Linked DNA regions of Drosophila melanogaster. The gene in region 1 interacts genetically with each later gene. Each region holds a gene or a part of one and is shown in the gene's direction. Other genes may lie near its edges.

Evidence for each region. Genes that interact genetically often act in the same process or in processes that back each other up.
Region 2: of Chro (region 1) and JIL-1, changing one enhances a phenotype caused by changing the other (phenotypic enhancement), as found in Drosophila melanogaster (one study listed by BioGRID).
Region 3: of Chro (region 1) and pros, changing one suppresses a phenotype caused by changing the other (phenotypic suppression), as found in Drosophila melanogaster (one study listed by BioGRID).

The regions. Positions count from the first base shown.
Region 1 is NT_037436.4:22,871,826-22,881,973, reverse strand, and holds Chro (chromator), read left to right. Parts: upstream 1-2,989; 5' UTR 2,990-3,340; intron 3,341-3,748; exon of another isoform or gene 3,749-3,955; 5' UTR 3,956-3,979; coding exon 3,980-4,037; intron 4,038-4,098; coding exon 4,099-4,524; intron 4,525-4,585; coding exon 4,586-5,517; intron 5,518-5,583; coding exon 5,584-6,850; intron 6,851-7,274; coding exon 7,275-7,372; 3' UTR 7,373-8,272; downstream 8,273-10,148. Other genes in the region: Ssl1 (suppressor of stem-loop mutation), read right to left, coding at 1,187-2,096, 2,149-2,490, 2,544-2,608; CG11109 (uncharacterized protein), read right to left, coding at 8,286-9,539, 9,628-9,693.
Region 2 is NT_037436.4:11,089,367-11,096,458, reverse strand, and holds the start of JIL-1 (JIL-1 kinase), read left to right. Parts: upstream 1-3,265; 5' UTR 3,266-4,187; intron 4,188-4,602; exon of another isoform or gene 4,603-4,686; 5' UTR 4,687-4,819; coding exon 4,820-5,561; intron 5,562-7,092. Other genes in the region: CG46439 (uncharacterized protein), read left to right, coding at 410-1,966; Iyd (iodotyrosine deiodinase), read left to right, coding at 2,108-2,264, 2,320-3,026. UniProt on the Drosophila melanogaster protein: Phosphorylates 'Ser-10' of histone H3. May regulate gene expression by establishing or maintaining the structure of more open chromatin regions. Also required for normal polytene chromosome structure, for oogenesis and for viability throughout development.
Region 3 is NT_033777.3:11,325,127-11,332,306, forward strand, and holds the start of pros (prospero), read left to right. Parts: upstream 1-3,353; 5' UTR 3,354-4,830; intron 4,831-7,180. UniProt on the Drosophila melanogaster protein: Homeodomain protein that controls neuronal identity. As a transcriptional factor, regulates the expression of ftz, eve and en in a subset of neuroblast progeny and modulates the transcriptional activity of other homeodomain proteins such as Dfd.

The DNA.
Region 1 (10,148 bases):
TACCTTAAAACACATATGGGCTTATAAATGATCGCGAATGTTAGACTCAAGCGCTAATAATATGTGGATCCAATTCGGACAGTTTATAAAATATCTTTTATTTCATCGCCATTGCTTGTTCGCTATTCAAGAGATATATGGAGTTATATAAAATTACTACGAGTACGTCTTGTTCCGCTGGGAATTATAAAGTTACAATGTATAACAGTATATAAAGTATTTACATTCTTGATTACCGATCTAGCCATACATAGCCGTACATATCTTAAAGCCCGCACGGCTCGCTTTGTTGATTTTTTATCCTATTGCATTTTGCCGCAAGTTACATACCATTTGAACCTATTATTTACAAGCTACATTTAGACCAATTTATATATACAAATTAAAAGCTTTTATTTATGTTTTATTATCTATTATTGATGCCATTTGCTCGCATCTTTTAGAAACCGCATAAAGAATTTGTATTGTAACTCTAAAATCAAAAAGCATAAGTCTAATAGTTATCTTTTTAAAAAAATTTAGAAACTTTAAAAACAACCAATTATTAATAACAATAACACAATATATGTACATACATTTTTGATTTTTATGGTAGACCTTCGGAATGCTTATGAATCTTCAATTAAATGTTGAACTTTATAAGGTAATAGACAGTTGTGGCGGTTTAGCTGGCCTCTAACTGGTTTAATACTAGTTTAAAGCAGCGTCATTGATCTTCATAAATTGTTTATGGTGTCACAGAGCAGTATATCCACGTCACATCGGTCTCCCACTGAACAAAAGTTCTGGCTCTTCAAAATTCACAACACCAACGCGGGTTAACATCTATAAAGCTAAAGTTCCAACGAGAACACCTGTGGGTGCCGAGAGCTTTTGGATTGAATCGCAACTAAACCCGACCGAATGCGGCAAACGCTGATGATGAACTCAAGCGAGCTCTAGACAAAAGTGCGCCAAGTTCGCATGAAGCGGCACAGAGAGCCTATGACCAAGTAATTAGCAATACAATTGAGAGGGTCTCACACAACGGCCATAATAATGCTACGCTCGCCTTCACAATTATTAAGCATAAAACCAGATTTTAATTGATACAACTCATAACCACCGTTTCGAAACGAACTGTATTTTGTTTGCCCCAAATGCGTAGTTATGTGGAAGTTCGAAATATCTATCTATAGAAAGTCAGTTACATCCCACACTGGCCGCGCTGCTTTGAGGGCCCTGGGTGTGCATCAACCTGGTCAGACTTGGAACTTTGCTGGTAAACCAGACCGTCTACGCCGGGAATGGTGTTGCATCCCACGCAGGCGTGCAATGTGTCGTGAATGAAGATGTCGCAGTCAACGCAGAAGAACTGCTTGCAGAAACCGCATCTGAAGACGACTTTATCGGCGACCTTGTCAACGCCTTGCCCAAGAGCTTTGGCGCAGCCGTAACATTCCCTGACATCGCTGGTGAGGTCGGATGACGAAGCAGGCATCGCCTCAAACGGCAGTTCCTCAAAATTTGGCACCGGGAAAAGGTGGTGGTAGGAACGCGCCAAGTGCGGCGCGGAGACCAGGGTGAGGCCGCAAGACTGGCACTCCACGGGCAGCTCGCAGTACTTGCTGTTGCATTGCGGGCAGTGGTGGCCAGTAGTGGTCAGTTCACTGGGCTCCTCCAAGTTCTCTATGTGGCACATGCACATGGACAATGGCGCGTCCTTGCCCTCAACTTCATTCTTTGTGTGCGGGAAGCCCATGCGAATAAGCGAGTTGTGCTGAGTCTTAGCGGCGGGCGGTGGATCTACCTGAGACATGAGTTGATCCCGAAAATGTGCATCATCCAAAACAGCCCCGAAGGTGCCCATTGTTTGCTGAGTGAGGTAGCGGGCCACGTGAATCTCAGCGGACAGGGAAATAACCGAGCAGCGTATGCCCTCCTTTTTTAACTCGTCGATGGTGAGGTTAATATCGACAGGATCACATGTGGTGAGCGAGCCCATGATAATGACGATCTCTCGGGAGGCGTGCGACGGCACCACCTTAAGCGATTTTAGGGCCAGATCTAGGCCATTTTGCAGCGAAGGCTCGCTGGTCAAGGACACGTTAGCCAAGCTAAACAAAAAGGGGATATAAATGGAGAACGCTGGTTTGATTCGGTTCTTACCTCTCTAGCGCTTTGAGGTGCACGCGCGAAGTGCCGGTAAGTTCGGTCACCTTCTCCGCTCGCTTAGCTTTTAGCGCTATGAGTCCTAATTGGCTGATGGGGTTCTGATCGAAGAACTCCTCGATAAACAGCTCCAGCAGCTTGACGGTGCACCGCAGTCGTGTGGGTTTCAAATCAGGCACGCTCATGGACTCAGAGCAATCGAGCACAACGAACATGTGGCGCATCATGCCCAGGCGGTTCTGCTTGGACTTTTGAGCCTGCCTCTGGCGTTTGGCCTTCTGAATGATCTCTGCAATGGCTCCATCCAGCATCCCATCCTCGTCGTCCTTGATGGCCTCCCTAATAGGATTAAAAGTAAGTGCGGGCTTACATTGTCACGCACACCATCGCACCATGTCTTTTCATAGCCCGTTTCCCAGCGGTACTCCTTCTGGTCCTCTTGCTCATCGTCGGCCATACTTGCAGTCCTGATGCACTACCAAGTCAAATCAAGAAAGAAAAGCAATTAACGCTAAATAAAATGCGCCGGCTAATGTAACAGTGTGTACACACAGGGCCTACGTTAAATACAATACACTGGGTGGCAACCCTGGGTAAGTATTTATATCAATAAATATCTACAAAAGAATGACATAATAAAATGAAATAATAAAAAATAATTTCGAATTTCTTACCTAATATGAACAAAAAAAGTACAATATTATTATTATTGCGCCCAAAGTTGCCACATCAATAAATATACCCACCACGACGCGTAATTGGCTAACTAAGTGCACCGCCACACGGGCGAACTGAAAAGGGCGCTACACCCTAAGTTTGGGCACTTAAAACCGTGCAAGCATTGAAACCCGCGTTTTATATCATATACTATATTCGAAAAAACCTTCGAAATCTTAAAATTTACTGGACTGCAGTTAGTTTAAAGCTATCGACAGGCAATACACTCCCAGTAATATTAGGATTTAAATAGCTTAGCACAGAAGAGCATTCTAAGGTCCGCACAGCCGGAACCAAATCATCTCTGGACAATTTCCGTGCAGCCGAATTTCGCTTTTGGCATTCAGAGTTCGCGCGTACAACTGTGAGCAGCAGTGGAGCTGCTCGTGTTGAAAAATCGGGAGTCAGTTAAATTAAAATAACCGTTTGAAACAACATTCAGTTTGATATTTATCCAAAATTGTTTATGAAGGTGTGTACCAAAGTGTTCTAGAGAAATCTTTTAATTTAATGATATGTGGAATAGGCTTATTTGCAATCATACCTGGCCTATATCTAGTGCCTGCAAGGTTTAGCGGGCAAAATGAAATTGTGAACTTTGATATTATTTAAACTATATGTAATCCTTTTTTTTAAATGAAAACAAATAGGATCGAACCATAGGGTTTTATTTATTTTAATTTTTAGCTGTGTTGAAGTTCAAATGCATTTGTAACAGATAAGTTTAAGTAACTAATAAAGTCGCATTACGCATAGTTCGTGCTTTTCTGTGTTTTATTATATTATATATCTACAACAGTGCGGCAGGCTCGTTCTTTTCATAATGTACTTAGTGTTTTTTTTCGGCTGCCTAAGCGCCGCTGCATTTTGCCCATTGCAGATGTACATATGCTTGAACTCACCATATCGGACACACACCGCAGACAGCGACCGTTCGCGTTGCCACCTGGTTCAAGTTAGCACAAACACACCACGGCACTGTACTTTTTCTTCGCCGTTTACCAATATTTCAAAACCAAGCAATAACAAATAATAAGACTCCATTCAGCACTATTTTTAAGTCACACTTTAAATGCTCTCTTCAAAGGCTTGGGCGCTGGAGTCGTGAATAATGTTGGCACAGGAGATTTCACCTACGGAAATCGGCAAACACGCAAACATTATAAGAGGTGAGTGACTAAAAACATTGGTAAATAATTTTTATTGTTAATTTTGTGTTCTGCCCTGCAGCTGCACAGGAGGAATTGGCAAACATGGACGTTCTTGTATGTGGACGATGTCTCCGGGCCTACAACTTCGTGGAAGAGTTTCAGGCCCACAAAGAGGACGCCTGCGAAAAGGAAAATGCAAATTTGAAGGAATCGCTCGATCCCAAGCCCACCATCTGGGCTTTTACGCTATGGAAAGCTACTCAGCTGCACTCGCGCAAGGACGCGTCCGGCAGCTCGTGGGCCTTGTACCAGCATTGGGTAAAACTAGACGATAGCGTCCGCGAGCCGTGGATTGTGGCTGGGAAGACCATACAGTCATTCGGCAAAATTGCACACGGACAACTCCAGGACATGCCTGTGCGAATAACAAAGACTGTGGTCAATCCAAACAATAACAACACATCAAATAGCAACAACAACAACACGAGCGTCTCCCCTACCAGAAGTAATACAAAACATTCTAAATAAAAGTCACACTTGTTATTAAACTATATTTAAATCAACAGAATCACCAACCGGTAAGCTGCCTACGTTAGCCAATCAACTAAAGGATACAGAAAACGAAAGACCCAAGTCCAAGCCGAGTACACCAACGCCTTCCTCAGTTCCCTCTGCCGGAGCCGTGAAGCCGAACAACCGCATAGCCATTAGGATCGATTCCAAGACAGATCAGCGCACCGAAGAGCCAGTGGAAAAGATTGTCGCTAAGCGCTTCAATCCGCGCCGTAAGACCCACGAGTATTTGGTTAAGTGGGTTGATCGCTCGCATCATGAAAACACCTGGGAGGTGATGGCCAATCTCGAGCGTGTGCCATACTTTTTGCAGATGTTCGAAAAGCAATTGGCACGCCAAAAACTTACTAGGGAGAAGGGTCTGGATGCTCTGAAGCGCATGCAGTCATCAGGGACAAACGCAAAGTCAGATACTGCCGCCCCACACAGCCCACTTCCGGCGTCGTCGCAGGTATCGCCGTCTTCTCGGCCATCTCGAACTTCCAAGACCAAGGCTATGGATGCCTTTAAGCAGTGGGTCAATGAAACCGTTGCCGGAGATGGATCCTCCTCGCCTTCCTCGGCAAACGAAGATGAATCCTCCACGGAACAGGAATGGCCACCATCTTCTGGAGCGATCAAGCGAAAGCTGAACAATACAGACTCAAGTTTAGAGGGGAGCGGGTTAAACGACTCGATGGACCTAGAGGACCTTGAAGAGGATCTTCCGTCCCATACCGTGAAGCGTCTAAAAAACGGAGGAAGCTCCGTGCAGTTGAACAAGCCACGGATTCAGTCCACGGAAAAGCAGCAGACTAAAATTAACGGCAATTCCACCGTGGTATCGCCCCTAACGGAACAAAAAATGGGTGAAATCATCTATACTGAGGATAGCACGAGCTCCGGCATGTTTCGCAAGCCCGAGATGCCAAACACAATAAATTTGGTATTACGAAATAATGCTATTTCTACGCAGCAGCCAATTAATAACAATGATCTTAATTCGTTGCAGAAAAAGGAGAAACCAGAGTGTCCCGTGCGGTATCTTTCGCGCTCCGAGGTGGGCAGCAGCACAAGAGGCGTTTTTCGGGTTGAAAATTCCGAGGCACCGGCACCCGTTTCGCCTGCACCCGTTCCGCAAAAAGTGATCGCTGCGCCGCCCGCCGCAGGCATAGCCAAGCGTTTGCCAATGGCTCGTCCTGCGCATTCGGGCGCTAACTCGCCCATCACTGTGGGCCAGCGACAACACGCGCTTCGAACTCCCGGCCACGGCCCTGTAACAGCAGCACTTCATCGCCGTCCTGGAGTGGGTGGTGCATCCCATGTGCGTCAAAACTTGCAGCAGGCGCCCGGCCGGGCTCACCCGGGTGGTCGAGTCCTTGCACGAGCCGGTGTCGGAACTCCGCAACATCGCCAACAAGTACAAACTCCTCAGGGTGCCAAGGCAGTTACGCCAGAGCAAAAGATTTTACAGCTGTCAAAGTCAGGGGACTTGAAAGTTACGCGTAAAGTAGTGACCCGGGAAGAGTTGTTGGCTCAGCGCTCTGCCCAGGCACGCCAGCGACAGGCTCTGTCTCAGCAGCAGTCCAGTCAACAACAGAAAGCGACTCCTGCCCGGCAAAGAATAGTTTCCAAGTCAACAATCCAGCCAACGCCCCTGCAAATGGAATTGGAGGAGGAGATTCATCAGCACCAAGCTCAGTTGTGTCCAATCACCGGCAAGCTTATTGGTCAGGAGGAGACCCAACTGCAAATGGAGCAGGAGCAACAGCAGGAGCAACAACGAGAGCAGCTAGAAGCCGCGGCACAGGCCCTTCTGGGCAGCGATCAACAAGTTCTTACCAACGAGGACGGCTCGGCCTTGCTGGTGCGAGGAGAGGACGGCACTGTTTACCAGGTAGCGGGAAAAAATGCGGAGGGACAAACTATTCTCGTTACGCAGGGCCCGGATGGAGAACAGCAATTTGCGTACGTGGCAGCCGCAGAGGGAGAAGACCAGGATGTTCTTTCTCTGGACCACGCAGTGGCCGAAGCCGTTCAAGCCGGTGAACAGGTCGAGTCTCACGGCGTCGGAGCAGCTACGGCGGACGGTGAACAGATTCTCGTGTCCATGACAGAAGAGGAGTTGGCGCAACACCAGGTGCTTCAACAAGCGGAGGCTTCTGCCGCTGGAACGGGAACGCCACCCACAGCTCAGATCCATATCACGACGTCAGACAGCGATGGCACGGAATCCCAGATACCAGCGGAGGTGGTACAGGCAGATTTGCCTTCACCGGGTAAGTCGTGTTTTTCATAAAAATTTGACAAGGCCAGCTTCTTGTGTTGGCTTTTATATCCGTTACTCGTAGAGTAATAATAAAAGTTCATAACAGGTAGAAGGAAGCTTTTTGAAGATATAAAGTATATATTTTCTATTTATAATCAGGATCAATAAGCGAGCAGATCTAGCGTTGTCTGTCTGTATGAACGTAGAGAACTGAATGATTAAGCAGGGATATATATTCGCAGCGCAAGTGCGTTTGTTTCTCGAGGGGTAGATACTATCAGATGATAGTCGATAGCATTTTCTTGCTTTTCTTCTTGCAGAACTATACATTGGGTAGCTTTTTTATAAATCGGAATTGCATAGAAAATTATAGCAATATTTAGGGGATTATTCTTCAAAAACTAACTACTTGTTCATTTTCTGTTTTTTTTCAGGAGGTACACGTCGCGTTGTTTTGTTGCTTCAGGATGGAACCTTCATGATGACTGAGATGCACGAAGATCAGTTTAAGACGCTCAACATCCCAACGTAAAATCATGTTAATAGTATCCGTACATATAATTAGGCTTAGTTCTTAAGACTATTATATTGAAAGAACCTGACGTTGGTGGGTTCTTCCCATTTCCACTTTTGTTTGGTCCTAGCCAATCCATTCTCTTGGCCATAAGTATGCACCAGCACTGACTGAGAGCCGTGTTTGGCGAGTAGTGAATATTATTCTGGCGAAAGCATACCGGGAACCAGAACGCTAAACGTCTAGCGAAACAATAATGCTGCGCCGGGGAAACAAAAGGCATCGAACGATGAAATAAATTATGCGAATACCTTATTTAAAACATTATTTTATCGTGGGAGTCAAGCAGTTTTACGATAATTATCACTGCAGTCAAGGTGAGAGATTCCGCCAGCGTTAAAAGCCTTCATCGATGTTCTCATCATATTTAGTAATTTCCTCAAGCACAAACAAAACATGCATTTATCGGGGTCCCATCAATGATTGGTAATATTTTTGACTTCCTTTTAACTTACAACTCGTAAAATCATTAAGTAAATCTTTGTCGTAGAAAGTTTTAAAGTTCCCGAAATGCATAATTTTGCTTTTAACAAGAATCGTTAAATAACAATGACGGACTTAGATTTAAGTAAAATTACATTAGTTATGAATTGTAAATTATTTAAGTTCTTTTTAACTCGAAAACAAAAAGATAACATTATGTATCTCCATTAAGATAGCACAAGCAGCTATGGGAGAGCAAAGCCTAAATGTTATCAGACTGCATTTTTCAAATGCTTTTCTAAGCGTAGGGTTGAAATTTTCTTGATCAAATACCACTAGCGTAGGTCTCACTTATATCACTCATAAGCCGGCTTACTTTTGCAAATCAAAACGAATGTTTAAATTATCGAGCCCAATAAACAAAAAATTTCAGTGAAGTTGAATTTATTTATATTTTCTGAAACTTCGCAATAAAAAAGCCCACAGTGTCCGCATTTGCTCCGCTTGGACCGAAGCGCTGCAACAGACGAGATTTACATGCCTCGAAACCGGGAAGCGGAAGTCCGGGACCGCCCCACCGGGGAGTGGCATCTGTTAGCCGCAGCTCGACAAATTTTCTTAGTGCCCAGGCCACAAGACATTCGCACTCATCCTCGGTGACGGTGCACGTGCTATATACAAGGATGCCGCCAGGACGAACGAGCTGCACTGCCTGTTCAAATAGCCGGCGCTGAATATGGGGATATGAGGACAAGACCTTAACCTGTTTAATGCTGCAGGACAACTGTGGCCGGTTGCCCAGCCCACTGCAGGGTGCATCGAGCAAGATTCGGTCAAAGCTTTCACATGGAAACGGAGGCCCAGTGAATTCTCCCACGGGTGCAGATGGAGCGTCCGCTGCCACTGCCTCGGTGGAGTTAAAAACATGCGCCGTTATGCTTTTGTAGTGTCCCAATTTGGGCAGCATGCTGCGGACGCGACTGGCCGAATTGTCTAGGGCCACCACAGATCCCCGATCGCCCATCAACTCGGCTATGTGGCTTGTTTTGTTACCCGGAGCGGCACACATGTCCAGTATGCGCTCGCCGGGCTGCGGATCCAGGACACGGACGCAAACAATAGAAGGCAGGTTTTGCAACAGGCCGTCTTCGCTGCTTAGATCCCCCAGCGTGGGCACTCCGCTGACGTTGGACTGCATTTCCACGGCCACTCCAGAGGCGGGCTTCTCCGCGTTGTTGAACAGCTGATACCGCTGCATTAACACCTTGCCTGTACCCAGGAAAACCTTATTTGGGCTTTCGTACCGCTTGACCGTCCCGCGCTTGCATTTTCCATCCAGATCTGCGTAGACATTGACGAGTTCCTCCCGCTCAGTGTTTGACTCCATAGCTAAAACACCGGGGGCGTATATGTGGGCGCCTCGCAGTAGTGCAGCTCCGCAGTTAGTGTCAACCACTACCTCCTTGAGCTCGGAGTCGGCCACAGCTTTGGTGAGCTGTGAGTCCAGCGGATCAATGCACAACATCTCGGGTAGGTTTGGCAAGCAGTAAATCCTTGGAGATTTTACACCGTAGCGAATGGCGAGTTTTTCTTCTAACTTTTTCCGAAAGTCGTCAACGGAACACCTAAGAGTGTTCACCCTGTAAGTGGTGACTTTGGGAGTAAGGCACAGCCATTCCAACAGCGGAGCAAGTGCAGCAGACTTGACAAAACCAGGAATTAACAGTTAATAAAATTTGCAAGCCAGTTTTTGTTGTAAATACGTATTTGTGCACATTGAAAGTACATACATTCACTTTAAGGATATCGGCTTCCAGCAACGGGTTCACCAAAAATGGTGTTTTTGGGTAAAACATATTAACATTTAACTTAGTTCAAATCACCTGGATAGTGAACTTTATCGAGTGAGCATTGTGCGACAATGATGAATCGATTAATCCAAATCGTTGGCAACTCTAGCCGAGGTGGCGGAGAAGAGACGTGGCAGCATTTCCCGAGTTTTCACCACGGGACTACACAACATCGGCATCCCGCTCTAGCTCATGCGCTGCGCCCATCTCTATCGGCAACGTTTATGTTGGTGAGTTTGCAGTTTTTTCAACAGCAAGTGTATTCTCGGTCAAGTTTTATTTTGCTCTGTGATTTTAGACATTTCCAAGCAGAAGTTTTTAAAATTTCCGCTCCTAGCCGTGTGCATTTGATTCAATTAGTTGGTGCGTATGCGTTTTCAGTCGAAAAAGGGGGTGGTATGTCAAGGCAGAGATACTTTTCTTGATTTTAAGAAGTTCCGCAGTAATGTAGATGTTCGTGT
Region 2 (7,092 bases), about 12 Mb from region 1:
GCAAAGTTTTCAGCGAGGAACAGCTGATTCAGTATTTCGTTAAAAACCGTTAAAAAGCGTGGTTGTTTTGAAATTGTTGAAATTCTTGAAAATTTTTTTTTATCTTGTTTATGTTCTTATATTAAAATCCTGGTCAGACTTATATTTTAAATATTAAGTTAATCATATTGTCTATGAAATTTGCAAAAATTGGTATATAATTCCAAGCATTTGAAAAAACTTCACAGTGACACTTACATTCACCCCAAAAAAAGTAAAAAAAAAATAGTCAGGATTACAAAAGTTATATTTCCAGATAATGGTACAAAATTTTTTCGATTTATAATGCTGTTGCCATTAAAGAACCCAAAGACCGTTGAAAGCGAGGTGAACCCGAATGTGACGCTACTGAAGCGCCAGATCGCCGAGGATGGAACCAAAACACAGGCACTGTTACTTCAAGCGTTCCGCTTCGAGTTGCCTAGTGACGCCAATGCATCTCCACTCCTCCAGGATCAGTTCCAGCCACAGTCAGTCAGCAGGAGGCATTAAGCCCGCTTTGGCATCACTAGATCCACCTAAAACACCCAATAGCATCGAGAAAACAAAGAAATCCGGGGGATTTCTCTCTTTTTTGTTTGGCAAACGAGACAGGCGGGCGAGGAATCAGAGTGAGACAAATGGAAACCATATCTCATTGGAGGATCATGATGTCAGGAAGCTTATACGTCTCTATAGCAAGCATAATAGCCTTTACAACCGCCATAATCGCTACTATGGTAACAAAGATATCGACGATGACTGCTACAACAGAATGGTGCGCTCATTTCCGGGAAGAAGCGTCTCGGAACTGAGATCCTGTCTGGAGGAGCTAAGGACGCTCTTTGAGCGGGAATACACCATTATCGAACGTGCTCGAAGGAAGTGTGGAGAGATAATGAGTCCTTCAATTCGCTACTATAATGAATTTCTTTTCCTGGTGCCACATCTTAATATACACTTCGACAAGGATCTTCCTGCCAGTGGAACTAGCCCACTCGCCGCCGGAAAACTTTTGCAAAATCCGATAGCCAACCCAGAGATGTTGTGCCAAAAGTTGACCAATTTCACGGATTTTCCTCTGGCCGGTTTTCCCGGCAATCTACTAACCAAGAGGCCCAAAAAAGACCCCCAAGACCGGCCAAACAAGAAGATCAAACCAATTCCTGATCAAGAAAATGCGAAGCAAGAAAATCCCATAGAGCAGGAAATTCAGGAGGCAGAAAAAGTCGCTGATCATGAAGTTTCGGTAGAAGAGAAAATCAGCGGGTTGGAGGATCAGGAACAGAAAGACGCACTCTCTCCATCGGAGCAGAAGAACATACAAAACAGTAAGGATAAAACCAGTCATCATCATTCCAATTGCAAGATGTCCAGCCATGAGAAGGATTTAGTATCCACCAATTTGACCTGTCCCTGCAAGCCGGAAGTGGAATCCTCACAAAGCCCAGTTTCCTGCCCCTGGATAGCCGAAAATTCAAAGTGTGAACCCCCGTGTCGGGAAACACCACCACAATCTACGCGAAATTCCGTATCCAGTCCGCAAAATTCAGATATTTCTGAATCCAGCAAAGAACCGGCTCACTTGATGGAGAAGGAACCATCCGGTCAGGAATCCGCGAATAGCCAGCAAGTGCAGATGCTTTGCGATATGATACGTACCGAGCTAACCACTGCTCCCGATTTTATATTCTTCGATGCCAAGTGGCGGATCATCGAGATTCTGAGAGAGGTGCACAAGCGCCAATTGGTTCACCAGAAGGCCATTCCACTCAACAATACACGCCGACCGATTCCGCCGCAAAAACGAAAACCGGGTGAGCCCAATCAGATGCTTAAGAATCCAAAATGCATGTCGGATAGGAGTGCCCACGAAAAGGGACAACAGAGGATGTGCGAGCATCACAAGGGCAGCCATTGCACCTACTGCTGCCGGAACAACAACTGAAGTGGAAACCAAAACCCATCCACCAGCATCCATCGCTATCAGCAATAGCCGTGACCCACTTAACCAAGTGATAAGCCAATCCGAGCGCAAAAGCAAAGCCACTTTCTCTCCGTCGCAAAAGCAGTTACATCTTGAAGCACCATGGATGTGGACGAACTGATCAGCAGCTCCAAGCTACTCAAGCATTGGCCAAGTTTATTTATCACTCTGGCGCTGATATGGATCGTAAAAAGATTGTTTTTTAAAGGGAATCGCGTATTAAAAACATATAATTTAGATGAACAAGTCGAGGAGGAGGGTAAGTTTTAAGATTATCCACGGTGAACATAAAGCTATTCTATTCTATTTTCCAGTTGAACACTTTGCCGATCTTGGCGATGAACTGCAACCGGCTCTGGAGGATAAGCCCCATGTGCCCTTCGTTCCCGGCCAGAATCTCAACCCTAATGGAGCCAAACGCTTATATGAACTCATGCGTGGACGCCGTAGCATTCGCTCCTTTAATAGCCATCCCAAACCGGATCTCAGCGTGATAGAGGACTGCATTCGGGCGGCGGGAACAGCTCCCAGTGGCGCACACACAGAACCCTGGACGTACTGCGTCGTACAGGAGCCGGAACTCAAGCGATCCATTCGGGAAATTGTGGAACAGGAGGAGCTGGTCAACTACAGCCAGAGGATGCATCCGCAGTGGGTCACCGATCTGCGACCCCTGCAAACCAATCATGTCAAGGAGTATCTCACCGAGGCGCCGTACCTTATACTGATCTTCAAGCAGACCTATGGATTGTCGGAGAATGGAAAGCGAATGAGGAGGCATTACTACAACGAGATATCCACTTCGATTGCGGCCGGTATCCTTTTGTGTGCCCTTCAAGCGGCAGGACTCGCATCGCTGGTCACCACTCCTTTGAACTGCGGTCCAGCCTTGAGAAACCTGCTCGGGCGACCCGTCAATGAAAAATTACTCATCCTACTGCCCGTTGGTTATCCGAAAGATGGATGCACAGTTCCCGACTTGGCGAGAAAGAATTTGTCAAATATTATGGTTACTTTTTAAGGTTTATTTACGTCCGTGCAGCTTACGAAATAGTTCAATAAAACCAAACTAAAATTTATGGTAATTCTTATATTTTTTCTATTGATAAACGAAATTTTCACATTTTCCTTAAATTTATTCTTCATTATAATTGTTAATCAAAATATAATATTCTTAAATATTTGAAACGATAGTCTCCACCATCCCTGCCAACCGATATACGGCTGCTTTCCAGCACCACGCTTTTTGGCCTCTTGTCAACACTATCGATAACGATAGCTACGGTAAGTGACACAAAAGCAAAGGGAAAATTTCTACGTGCGGTTCGTGTGCTGTGTGTTGAAATTACAAATAGCCAATTATCCGGCATTAATCGTTTTAGGGCTCTCTCGATTTTAATTGTATTATATTGTACTATAATACAGATATAAACCCGATTTGATCGAGTGTAACGGAAATCGACGCGATTCCCATCAAGGTGGTCCGTACCTAATAAGTGTTCACGAATGAGAGCAAAGCAGATGGCGGAGAGCGTCCTGCGTTTCAATGTGTGTGTGCGTAAACGAGTAGAAAGCGGCGGTAAAAACCTTCTCGTGTAACACAAAACAAATTATACAAAACATTCAATCTCAATATCAAAACGTTACTGTATTGTCTATTGAAAAACAAGTACAAGCGTACGCAGGGAAATTGGAAAATCCATTGAAAATCGAGAGCAACAGTCGCCGGAGCGGAATCAGCGGACGAAAACAAAAACGCTTTAAAAACGCAGCCGATACAGAAAGTGCCAGCGTGTGAGTGTGCATATGTGTACGTAGTTGTGGGCAAAGAGAACGGTAAAGAATAAGAAATCGAAAAAAAAAAATAAAAAACTAACTGTGGAAGTGAAAAATGCGCGACTGATAAAGATTGTGATAATCACGGCATAATATAACAAGCAAAAAAGAAGAATGAAAAGAAACCGCAACCGAATTGGTTGAATAATATTTAAGCCAACGCCAGTGCTGCATAAATCGGTGCACATTATCATTGGAACGTTCAGTGTTGCACATCGCTACCGCCCCACGCATAATCCAACACTCTTCCCCCTCCCCATCCAGATCCACCCACTCACACACACACACACTCCGATTCGGATTTCTTCGTCTGCATTATAATATTGCGCTTATAATCTTTCGCGAGGTGAGTCGAACTCCCAAATAGTGTTCTATTCAGAAATGAGTTTCCCCATCCAATTGTCCGCTAACAGCGGGAAAATTACTCCCGCCTGCGTTGAAACTGTACCATATTGTGGATGAAGAAATGGGATAGAAATGGGCAATGGGCATTGGGAAGGTACGGTGAAGATTGCCTAAATAGAACACAATAAGAAACAGCTATGTTCAAAACATCTTGCGGAATAAATTTCAACAATTCAGTTATTATTTATTTAGTATTTAAAATGTGTGAACTGGAACATTTATATCGTACATGTTGTCTATGCATTGTTGAACATCCATGAATAGAAAAAACTAATTCAGTTTCTAATTAAAAATACTACAACAATAAAACAGTCTAGCTAGCCAAAATGACAACTTTATGTCAGTACTCATATAAGAATGTGTCAAAAAGTTTAATGATTGTCTACAAATTGTTAGCGATTTTCGAAAAAATGTCTTTACTTTGATTTCTGTTTTTCCAGCTCAACGATGCGCCACGATCAGTCCCTGGACCTTTTTATTTTTATTTGTTAATTCCTGGAATATCCATCGATTACGTGAGGAGCACGTAGAGCATTATTAAAGGCATAGGATCTTTTACGGAAGAATCTAGCCATGAGTCGCTTGCAAAAGCAAAACTACGAGATCTTAAGCGGTACAAGTACGTCGCGCCTCAAGAATCATCAACATCCCCGTGAATCGGAGTCACTAGCCTACGAGGAGCCAGATCAAATGGTGCGGAATCATCTAAATGGCCAGCTGGTAGCCAATGGCAATGGCAAAACGCGAAAGAATAGCAATTCCGAAACGATGACCAATGGGAAAAAGTCCAAACTGAATACGGAGGGATCCGGCTCTGGTTCTGGAAAGACCTTGAACTACAATAATAATAACAATAACAACAACAGCATCAGTGCCACCAACGGTCAGTACACCAATAGCAGCAGCAAGACCACTTCAGCATCTGCAAGGGATTACACTTACCGCGAGACCATATCACCGCCCACACCTCCATCCCCGCCCACCACAAATGTGGCGGATATTGTTTGCATATCGGATGCGGAGAGCGAGGACGGACGCGATCCCGAGCGGGAGTACTACGACCAGGACATGGAGGAGGATGAGCCGAACGGGATAGAGATCGATGAATCCAGCTCCAGCTTGTCCAAGGCCAAGTCCAACAATGCAGCTGCAGCGGCGGCGGCGGCGGCTGCAGCAGCGGCAGCAGCAGCCTCGAAGGCCTCCTCGTCGACCACGCCCTCCTACGCCATGCCCACCAGCAATAGTACACCCCTTGATCTGGACAATGAGGCCCATCAACGGGACCTGGAGGCGGTCACCGATCTGAAATACTACGGTGAGTCATTCCACTCAATGATAGTGATAAAGAAGACCGGGCCAACTGCAAGCACAAGCTAGATAAGAAAATTTGTTACAAGTTGCAGGTCAGGATGTACTTATGTTAAATATGATAGTTTAATAATTCCGTCCATATCAAATTAAACCGCAACTTCTTCCCTGTGAATATTTCATGCCATTTTAAGGCAGCTGCCACAGAGCTTATCAAACATGGTAGTGTGGTGGAATAATTGATAACTTTAACCGGGTGGATGTCTCAAGGTTTTATTGAAATGTCGGCAGAGGGTGGCTGGTCAATGCCAGATGAAGTGCCGTCTCTATCGTTCTTTGTTAAAGTGGAGCACATGCATTTAACCTTGACACGATTACCCAGAAAACTCAACCCGGCTTTGTTCGCTCTTTGGGCCAAATCCAAAACTACTGACCTCCCCTGAAATCGCCCAACCTCGCCGTACTCACCTCTCACCACACTCTACATACATATACACAAAGCAGACAGAATATCCACCACCCAAATGTCTAATTTGATAACCGTGGGTCGAAAACCTATTGTTGCTGCTTGTTATTTGTTAAATTTGACACTTTTCGGTTGCATTTTTAAATAAATATTATTTACTGAGGACATTGGTCTGGATTTTGGTGTGGAAAGTAACACCTTTTTGAAGTAAACGTTTTTGTCAAGAGGTTTTCACAACAGCTGTTTATAAATCGAATAAAATAAATCTAGATAAAAACTAAACCTTCTCTAGTTTCGATTAAAATTCAATTCATCAAAGTTTCTATCTATCTCGATAATTAAGATGTAGTATTATTTCTTAAATAGTTCTTATATCTGGCTTATATCTTTCATAATATCATATGGAACCACTGTGCCACTTTTCGTCATCGCCGTGCAGTCGTGACCATGTCAGTTGTTTGTACAAATGTGCGTGCAACGCTGTTTGCGAGCGTTTGCTGTACTCACAAACATGCTTGTTTGCATAAACGGTTGGTTGTTGTTTCTAGGCAATTTATTTACTTGAACTTGGCAATGCAACTTGCCAAGCATAGATACATATGTATGTATGTAGGTATGTACATAAAGATAGGGCAACGAGTTAGCCTCCTGGATAATTGCCTTCAAATTGATAGGTGAGCTGTGTTTGTTGTTTGCTGTTAATTATCACAAGAACATCGTCACGGCAACGGGTGCTGCTAGAATGGTGGGGGAGGGGAGGGGTGAGTTGTATCATTAACCCCACCCTTTTGTAAATTAACAATAATAATTACACAATGCACAGAGAAAAATACAGATTGGTTCTCAAGTAAAGTTAGCAAAATCTTTTAAAATATTATGTCCAATTGTTGTCTTATAACGAATTAATTAAAACTGCATTCAAATGTATTGTTACATTTCATTTTTATCTGTGTAGTTTTCACCCCTTTCACTTTTTAATCAGTAAAATCGATATCCTCGTACAGTACAGTACCGCTAGCACATTATAAACATTACTTTTAAGTGGGGTAAACATTTCTTATGCGACAATTTA
Region 3 (7,180 bases), on another chromosome or scaffold:
AGACAAAGGACTAAGCGGCAGACCCTTTCCGCTGCCAGCCTCTTCCTTTCACCGACATCGCTGATTGCATTTGCTGCAACATTTTTCGTTTGGTTTTGTTTGCCTTGCATCCCATTTGATGGGTGGGGGGGGAGGGGGTGTCCAGGGAAAGGATGCAACTGCTGCACTGGTGCAATCTCCTGGCATTCGAATGGACTTTTGTTGTCGTCGTCCAAAATGCAGCTGTCGCGATGCATGACCTCCCTGCCATCCTGCTACCCCTTCCCCTACCACCTCTGCCTCATGCTGCTGCTGCTGCTGCTCCTGTTGCGCCCGCTTGTTTAGTTTTTCGCGCAATTTTCCGCGCTGCTTTTGTCATTTTCGGGGGTTTTTTCCATCCTGCCAGCCCGCCAGCCTTTTAGGCGATATTTTCGTTATATAAAGAGCCCTGGACACGGACCCATGCTTTTAGCCAAAGGCCAGCGCATGCAAATGCAACTGCAACTGCAGCAGCATCAGCAGCAGCAGCATCACCATCGCTTTGGGGAATATGCAAATCAGCCATCAGCAGCAACTGCAGCTGCAGCAACAAAAGGCTCAAACTAGAAATGCTTTATGTGGGCATTCTGGTTGGGGGATTGCATCTCCCTCGCAGCCCCCACACTCTGCAATGGAAGGCGAGCGCATAATTGATGCTTTTCGGGCCGCGACCAGCTTTGCACGTCCATTAATTTGCTATCGAATTGCTCTCAACTAATTGAACGGCAGCATAATGCGAATTTAATGAAGATCGCAGTTGGTTTAGAAGTGGAAAGGGGGGATGGGGGGTAAGCTGATGACTGATTAGAAACCAGATAGTAACAATTTGATACAACAATTGTTTATGTTGGCAGGCTTATGTAATCATTCAAAAATGGGATGTGAATATTGTATGTTTAAATAAACCAATGTTGATGCATTCGATATGCTCATATGAACCTCAAAAAAGTATATATGCTTAATTAAAACCCATGCTGAGCGAAATACTTTTTCAGATCATATATATATCTGGTTATATGGATATGTTCTTTGCTGCATTAAAAGCGTAATTTTAAGTAGCAAGCCAAGCGAGCAATGCCTTAAGGGAATGCATATAATTTGATGTAACTTGCATATGTAGATCAGTTATTTAAATCGGTTGAAATCGAAATGCCCTAGGAATTCCAGGTCTATTCGACTTTTAATATGATTTCTGCGCATAGTCATCAGCTGCCTGCTGCGGTCCGCGAGCTCATTAATTAATGATGACAGGATGGACAGGACTGATGGCTCGTTGGGCAGGGAGTTGGAAACCGCAGCTGGTGGCAGTGGGCCTACTGCACGCCACCACCTTTGTATTTGTGCATAACAACTTATGAATCCATAAGCTATCTGGCAATCTCTTTATGAGCAGCATTCCCAATTTCTCTCTGATATCCTGCGAAGGCCAACCAAACCATACCGAACCATAGCAAACCAAACCAAAACCATATCGAGCCCGAAGCAAAAGCAGAACGGGCACAGTGGCAAAGTCAATAGCCAATGCCATCGATAAAGCCATAAACTTCATGTACTGGGTGGAGATTGTGGGTGCTGCTGTTCCTATCCGGCCTAAACTGCGCCATCCCAGACCTGTGCCCGCGTTCTATCCATTTCCGGGAATACGCGGCGTATGAGTAACGAGCGCGATGCGTAGGATTAAATGCAGGCGCTGCCTAGTTCCGATCTGTGCCTCCTCGTCTATATATCACTGATATACATATATATAATATATATATACATATATATATGTACATATATATGGACACATATATCTCTGAGCACGTACATAGAGAATTGCAGTGGCTGTCGCTGCACTCGCCCACCAATTTTTCTCCGCTTTTTTGATGCGCTTTCCCAGAACCCCCATGTGCATGAGTTAGTAGGAATTTATGCTGGCTCTATTATTGTTGCTCTTGTTGTCGCGGATCCTTTTTGGCGGGGTATGAGTGCGGACGACGCTCTACATTTTTTTCAGCTGCAGTTTTCTTTGCTGGATATTTTAATGCCAACTCTGACGATATACCAATACCAGTGCCAATAACCAACACCCATAAATGGCGGCAAAATAAAATAGGAAAAAAATGTGTGTTGCATTCGCGCAGGGGCAACATAGAAAACTTTTACGTTTCGCTTAGGGTTTTGCTTTATTTTTTGCTTTCAGGTTTCCCTCTTCTTTTTTTGCGATTTTCATTTTGTTGCTTTGGCATTGCAAATGAAAACGAAAAAATTGCATTTTCCCCGCATATGGATGTGTGTGAGAAGCACGAAATCAAAACAAAACATGGCCACATGGCGGGTCCTGTCGGCTGGTGGGTGTGCGGATGGGATGTATGGATGCATGGACGGATGGGGCACATGAACAGTGCACAGCCAGGAGCAACAGCTCCCACAGCTGCCACACTACCTCCCTGCAGATGTATCTGTATCTGCGAAATGGTATGGTCCATCTGGCGGGAAAAGGGGCTGGGTTTTAGGTACACTTAGGCTCGATAGCTGCAGTTTTTCGCCACCCAGTCAGCGAAACAGACCACCACGCAGTTGCCCAGTCCAAAAACCACCTCATCAGTCGTTTGGGGGTTTGGGTGTTCCATACTTTTTGGCGTTGTTTGATTTTTAGGCGCAGCAAAATGCGTTTTGCTCTTGATTGAAAGTGTGAAGAGTGTGGGGCAGCATGCCAGCGTGTGTGTGTGCGATATGTGCATTGTCCGTGTCCTTCTCGCAGTGTGCATGTATTGGCGAGGACGCCGCTGCCGCTGTCGTCGCGCTTTGTTTTGATTTTTCGCGACTGAGCGCGCGTTGCTGTCTGTTTCTCTCTGTGTTTTTGGATTTGTCCAGCAATGCATATGTGCGCCCACTGTTCTAGTGGGTGTGTGTGTGTGTTTGTGGTTGTGTGCGAGGTTTGCATGTATATGTACACTAGCAGCTAGGAGCGGCGCTGACGTCGCAGTCGCAGCAATTTTTTGCGCCAAAGCCAAACCAAAAAGGACGAGGACAATTCGGTTGGCGCTGCAGCTGCGACGTAGCCGCGGAATTTTTTTGCGCGTTTCGCGCCCGGCCAGCGGCCACTTTCATCCGTATCCACGTATCCAAGTATCCACATCCGCATCATCCTACTCCATCAGCGTTAGCATCAGCGGCCGAGGGGCTGGCGTCCCTCATAATCAACGCGCTGCAGCGACGACGCCATCGACATCGACAGCGGCTCTGGCTTTGGCTTTGGCTCTGTGACTCTGGGGCCCGTCATCGTTAGCAATTTTTGCCAGGACATTGCAACAGAAAACTGCTAAACGCGAAACAAGTTGCGGCGCTTTTTTCTGCTCCTCGGGTTCTCGCTGTCTCCCTGTCCTGGCCTGTCCTGAATCGAACTGAGCCGTGCTGCCAGGATCAGGCAGCAGCAGGCAGCAGACAGCAGGCAAGGCACATCAGTAGGCAGTGCAAGGCAGGCAGGCAGGCAGTCGGCAGGCAGGTCGCCACTTCTCGCAGACTTCTTCGCATCTGCATAAATCAAACCCAGAGGCAGTAGCAGAAGCAGTTAGCCACCCCAAGAAAAAACTCTACAACAGAAAAATACCGAAAAACAAAAGAAAAACAAACAAACAAATAGAAATAGAAAAGAGAGACATCGAAGCAGAGAAACGATAGGAGAACGAAAAAAAGTGCCAAGTGAATGTGAAAGTGAAAGTGTGTGCAAAATGACTTGAAGTGCAAGACTAGACACCTATGTACGTACCACCTACACCACCCAGCCTGGAACACACTACGTATACGCAATGCGGCCCAGGCGCTCATACGCCCCGTTGGCCCGCCAGCCCTTCGAACTAAGACTCGGGCTGGGGCTCGAACAGCCATCGCTCGCCATGCCGTCTTGAGTGCAAAAAATTACCCGCCAAAAACCCAAAAACACACACGGCCGGCTTGCGCCAAAGACAATGTAAGCGCCGGCACTAGAATGTAGAGCAGTTTTTTCTTCATTTCCCAAAACTAACTAACAAAACCAGCCAGCCAACAACAAATAACAAAATAGACAAAGTTACATTTTTACCAATATCGATAATATTAATCACTTGATAATCAGCGCCAGTCAAACGCAACATTTCGTTCGTAAACAACAACTACAACTAGCCACAACAAAGCAAGTCAAAGCCAAGAAGCAACCAAATAAGCAGGCAATACCAGTCAGTCCGTAACGTCAGCAGCAGAAACCAACGAAAAACCAAAATAATAAAGTAAAACGATTGAGTAACTCCAGTTTCAGTACCGCACCGATTCCGATTTGAGCAAAAATTCAAGCGTCTGAATTTGATTTCGATATCGTCTGGCCCGTTCCGTCTTCAAGTCTCGGCCAAAGGTTCGTCATCGTCCCGACACACTCTCAGTTTCTACAAATTCAGACGTAGATCCTTAGTTAATTCACCTTTTGTATTGTGCATTTCGGCAAGCAAATATTTTGGAAAGGATCCCCAGAGAACAAAAAAAAAAAAAGGCGAAGAAGAGCAGAAGTCAACACTCGAAATCGAAAACTACGAAATTACCTGAAAATTTTTAAACAACCAAAAAGTCTATGAATGCAACAAAAATTACACGCTAAATTTTACAAGTGCAAAATTTTCTTATAATAATTTATCAAAAAAATAAAAATAAATTTACAAAAAAAAAAAAAATTAAAAAAGAAGCATAAAAAAACGGAACTTAGTGAGAAAATTAATCAAAGTTTAGAGAGAACATTAAATGCAAACGGAATATCAAAAATTGTTGTGATGTGATATTTTTTCGATGTACTTTTATTTGAGGGTAAGTAAAGATCACTATCAAAAATTCATTTTTCAACCATTACTCCATTCTTTTCATCAATCATTGACTCATTGGGGTTTATTTATCTTTTCAGAATTATAGAATTTAGATAGAGAAATAAGGGAAATAAATACATTCGAAGCGTATATTTTAAGATCTAGGTAATTTAAAGATGTTCTGATTAAGAAAAGTATCTATTATGGGATGCTTGATCATAAGAAAATGATTAACAGTGAGCATTTAACTACTGATCATTTTTGGAAGAGAACGAGAAGAGAACGACATTTAAGACAAATAGTAAATGGATAATATGAGTGTGAAACATTGAGCAGTATTGATTTTCATTAGAAAAATTAGGAAAAGGTTCATTCTTTAATTATAATGTTATCATCTAAGTTAAAATCAATTCAAAGATATACTCTTTTTAAGGCACAAAATCTATTTCACCAACGAAAGAAAGCAGGGCAGTCAAATTTTAGTAACTTAGCTAAACAGCATGTTTATTTCAAAGCGCCAAAATAATAACCATATTAATTGCTACAAGTAAATATTTAAGAGGAAATGTCTCCTTTGGAGTTCCTTAGTTCAGTGGGTCTGAAGATCGCAGAAGTCTTTCTCCGCGATTGAGCTCGGCACTTCCTCCCAAAGTTCTTCGTGTCCTGTCGTCGGGTGACGGCGTTCAGCTGCAGCAGCAACATGCAACAGCATCGTGTTGCTGGTGTGCACGCGGCTCTCCCCAGCAGCAGCAGGTTTAGTTGTAGTTGTAGACTTTTTGCTTTTCTACATCCTCACACACATACAGGCACACAAACGCACACAGCAACAAACACGAGTGCAAGACGCGAAGTTTTGGAGGCATGCACATAATGTAAACAAGGACATGCGCAATGCACCGCGCTGGCTTTCCCCGCTTCCACAACAGGAGAAGTGCATTGCAGGCAATGCAATTGCCAACTAGAAGATAGCAGCAGCCAAAGGGGCAGTGGGTGGCTGGGCAGGATTTTGGTCGCTTTTGGGGGGGGGGGGGGTGTGGTATTGGCGATGGGGTGTTGCTGGGTGGCTGCTTCATTTACCAACGGCTGCACTAGTAAATAGCAGATGGCAGCGAAGTCGGCGTCGGCATCGCTGTCGACGCCAACTTGCCACAGTTTAGATGGGAAAAAAGGAAAACTCCAAAGAGCCAGAGAGAAAGACAGAGTGAGGGAGAGAGAGCGAGCGAGAGTGGGTGAGAAAGAGAGAGCGAGGGCTGCGCAACGAGAGTGGCGAGTGCAGCCGAAAGGATGCAATGCTGCAAGGCAATTGCACTCCAGGACTCTCACACACACACTTACGCACACAAACGCATCCGCAAGCAGCTAGACTGAGGCGGTTGCTTCTTTTTTGGTTGTGTTGTCTCTTTTCGGCTTATTTTTAGAAGTCCTTTGCCCCCTCGCCGGCGCACATCCCACCCCAGCCCCCTTGGCTGCATTTTATTTACTTGACCAGGCCTCGGAAATTTACATGGCCAGCCGTGGGAGGGGGTTGCAGTATCCACAGCAGTAGCAGCAGCTGTTCCTGGAGCCCCAGCACGTGCAGCAAGCAACTGCCCTTCAGCCGCCCAGCCGCCCAGCCACCCAGCCACCCAGCTGCCTGCGTGATTTGTGCGTTGCCAGGATGCTGATGCTGATGATGATGGCGATGGCGATGATGAGGCATCTCGTAATGATCTGGGGCCGGGAAAAAAGGGAGCAGGAGGCGGTGGTGCAGCTGCATTTCCTTGCCAGCAACGCCGTGCGTGGTTGGTCGGCTCGAAAAAGGGTCGGCGGCACTGATGGGGGTTGGGCTGTGATGGGCTGGCTGGATGGATCGAAGTGTGGGCGCGTAGACATTGCGTAGAGTTGGAGCCAATTTTTTTCTATTTCTTGATGGGCAACCTGGTCCGACCGCCTACATCACCCATTCCACCGCCCCCTTTTTGGACCGCGCTTCATTCGCACATCGAGTGGTCAAAGTACATAGATACCCCATGCCCATGTGTCATGTGTGTGTGTGTGTGCTTTTTGCGCGCGCGAACTTTGGCCAAAGGAAAAAAACTTAAACAGAGATGCTTTTACATACGGAGGGGGGGTTTTTTCGGATGGCTCGCTGCATTTTGCGCGTCTGTAGCTTTTTTTGGCGGCCGTCGATGATGGGGTGCGAAGGGTTGGGGCGCGTGGTGTGTTCCCCGGCCTGGTGGAGGCCATGTACGCGTCGTCGTTTGCTAAAGTCCGTGTCCGTGTCGCGATGACGGAACGCCGAACGAACTGAACGCAACGCAACGCAACGCATCGCATCGCATCTATCGGCATCGGAAGGCATCGGCCGGGCACCG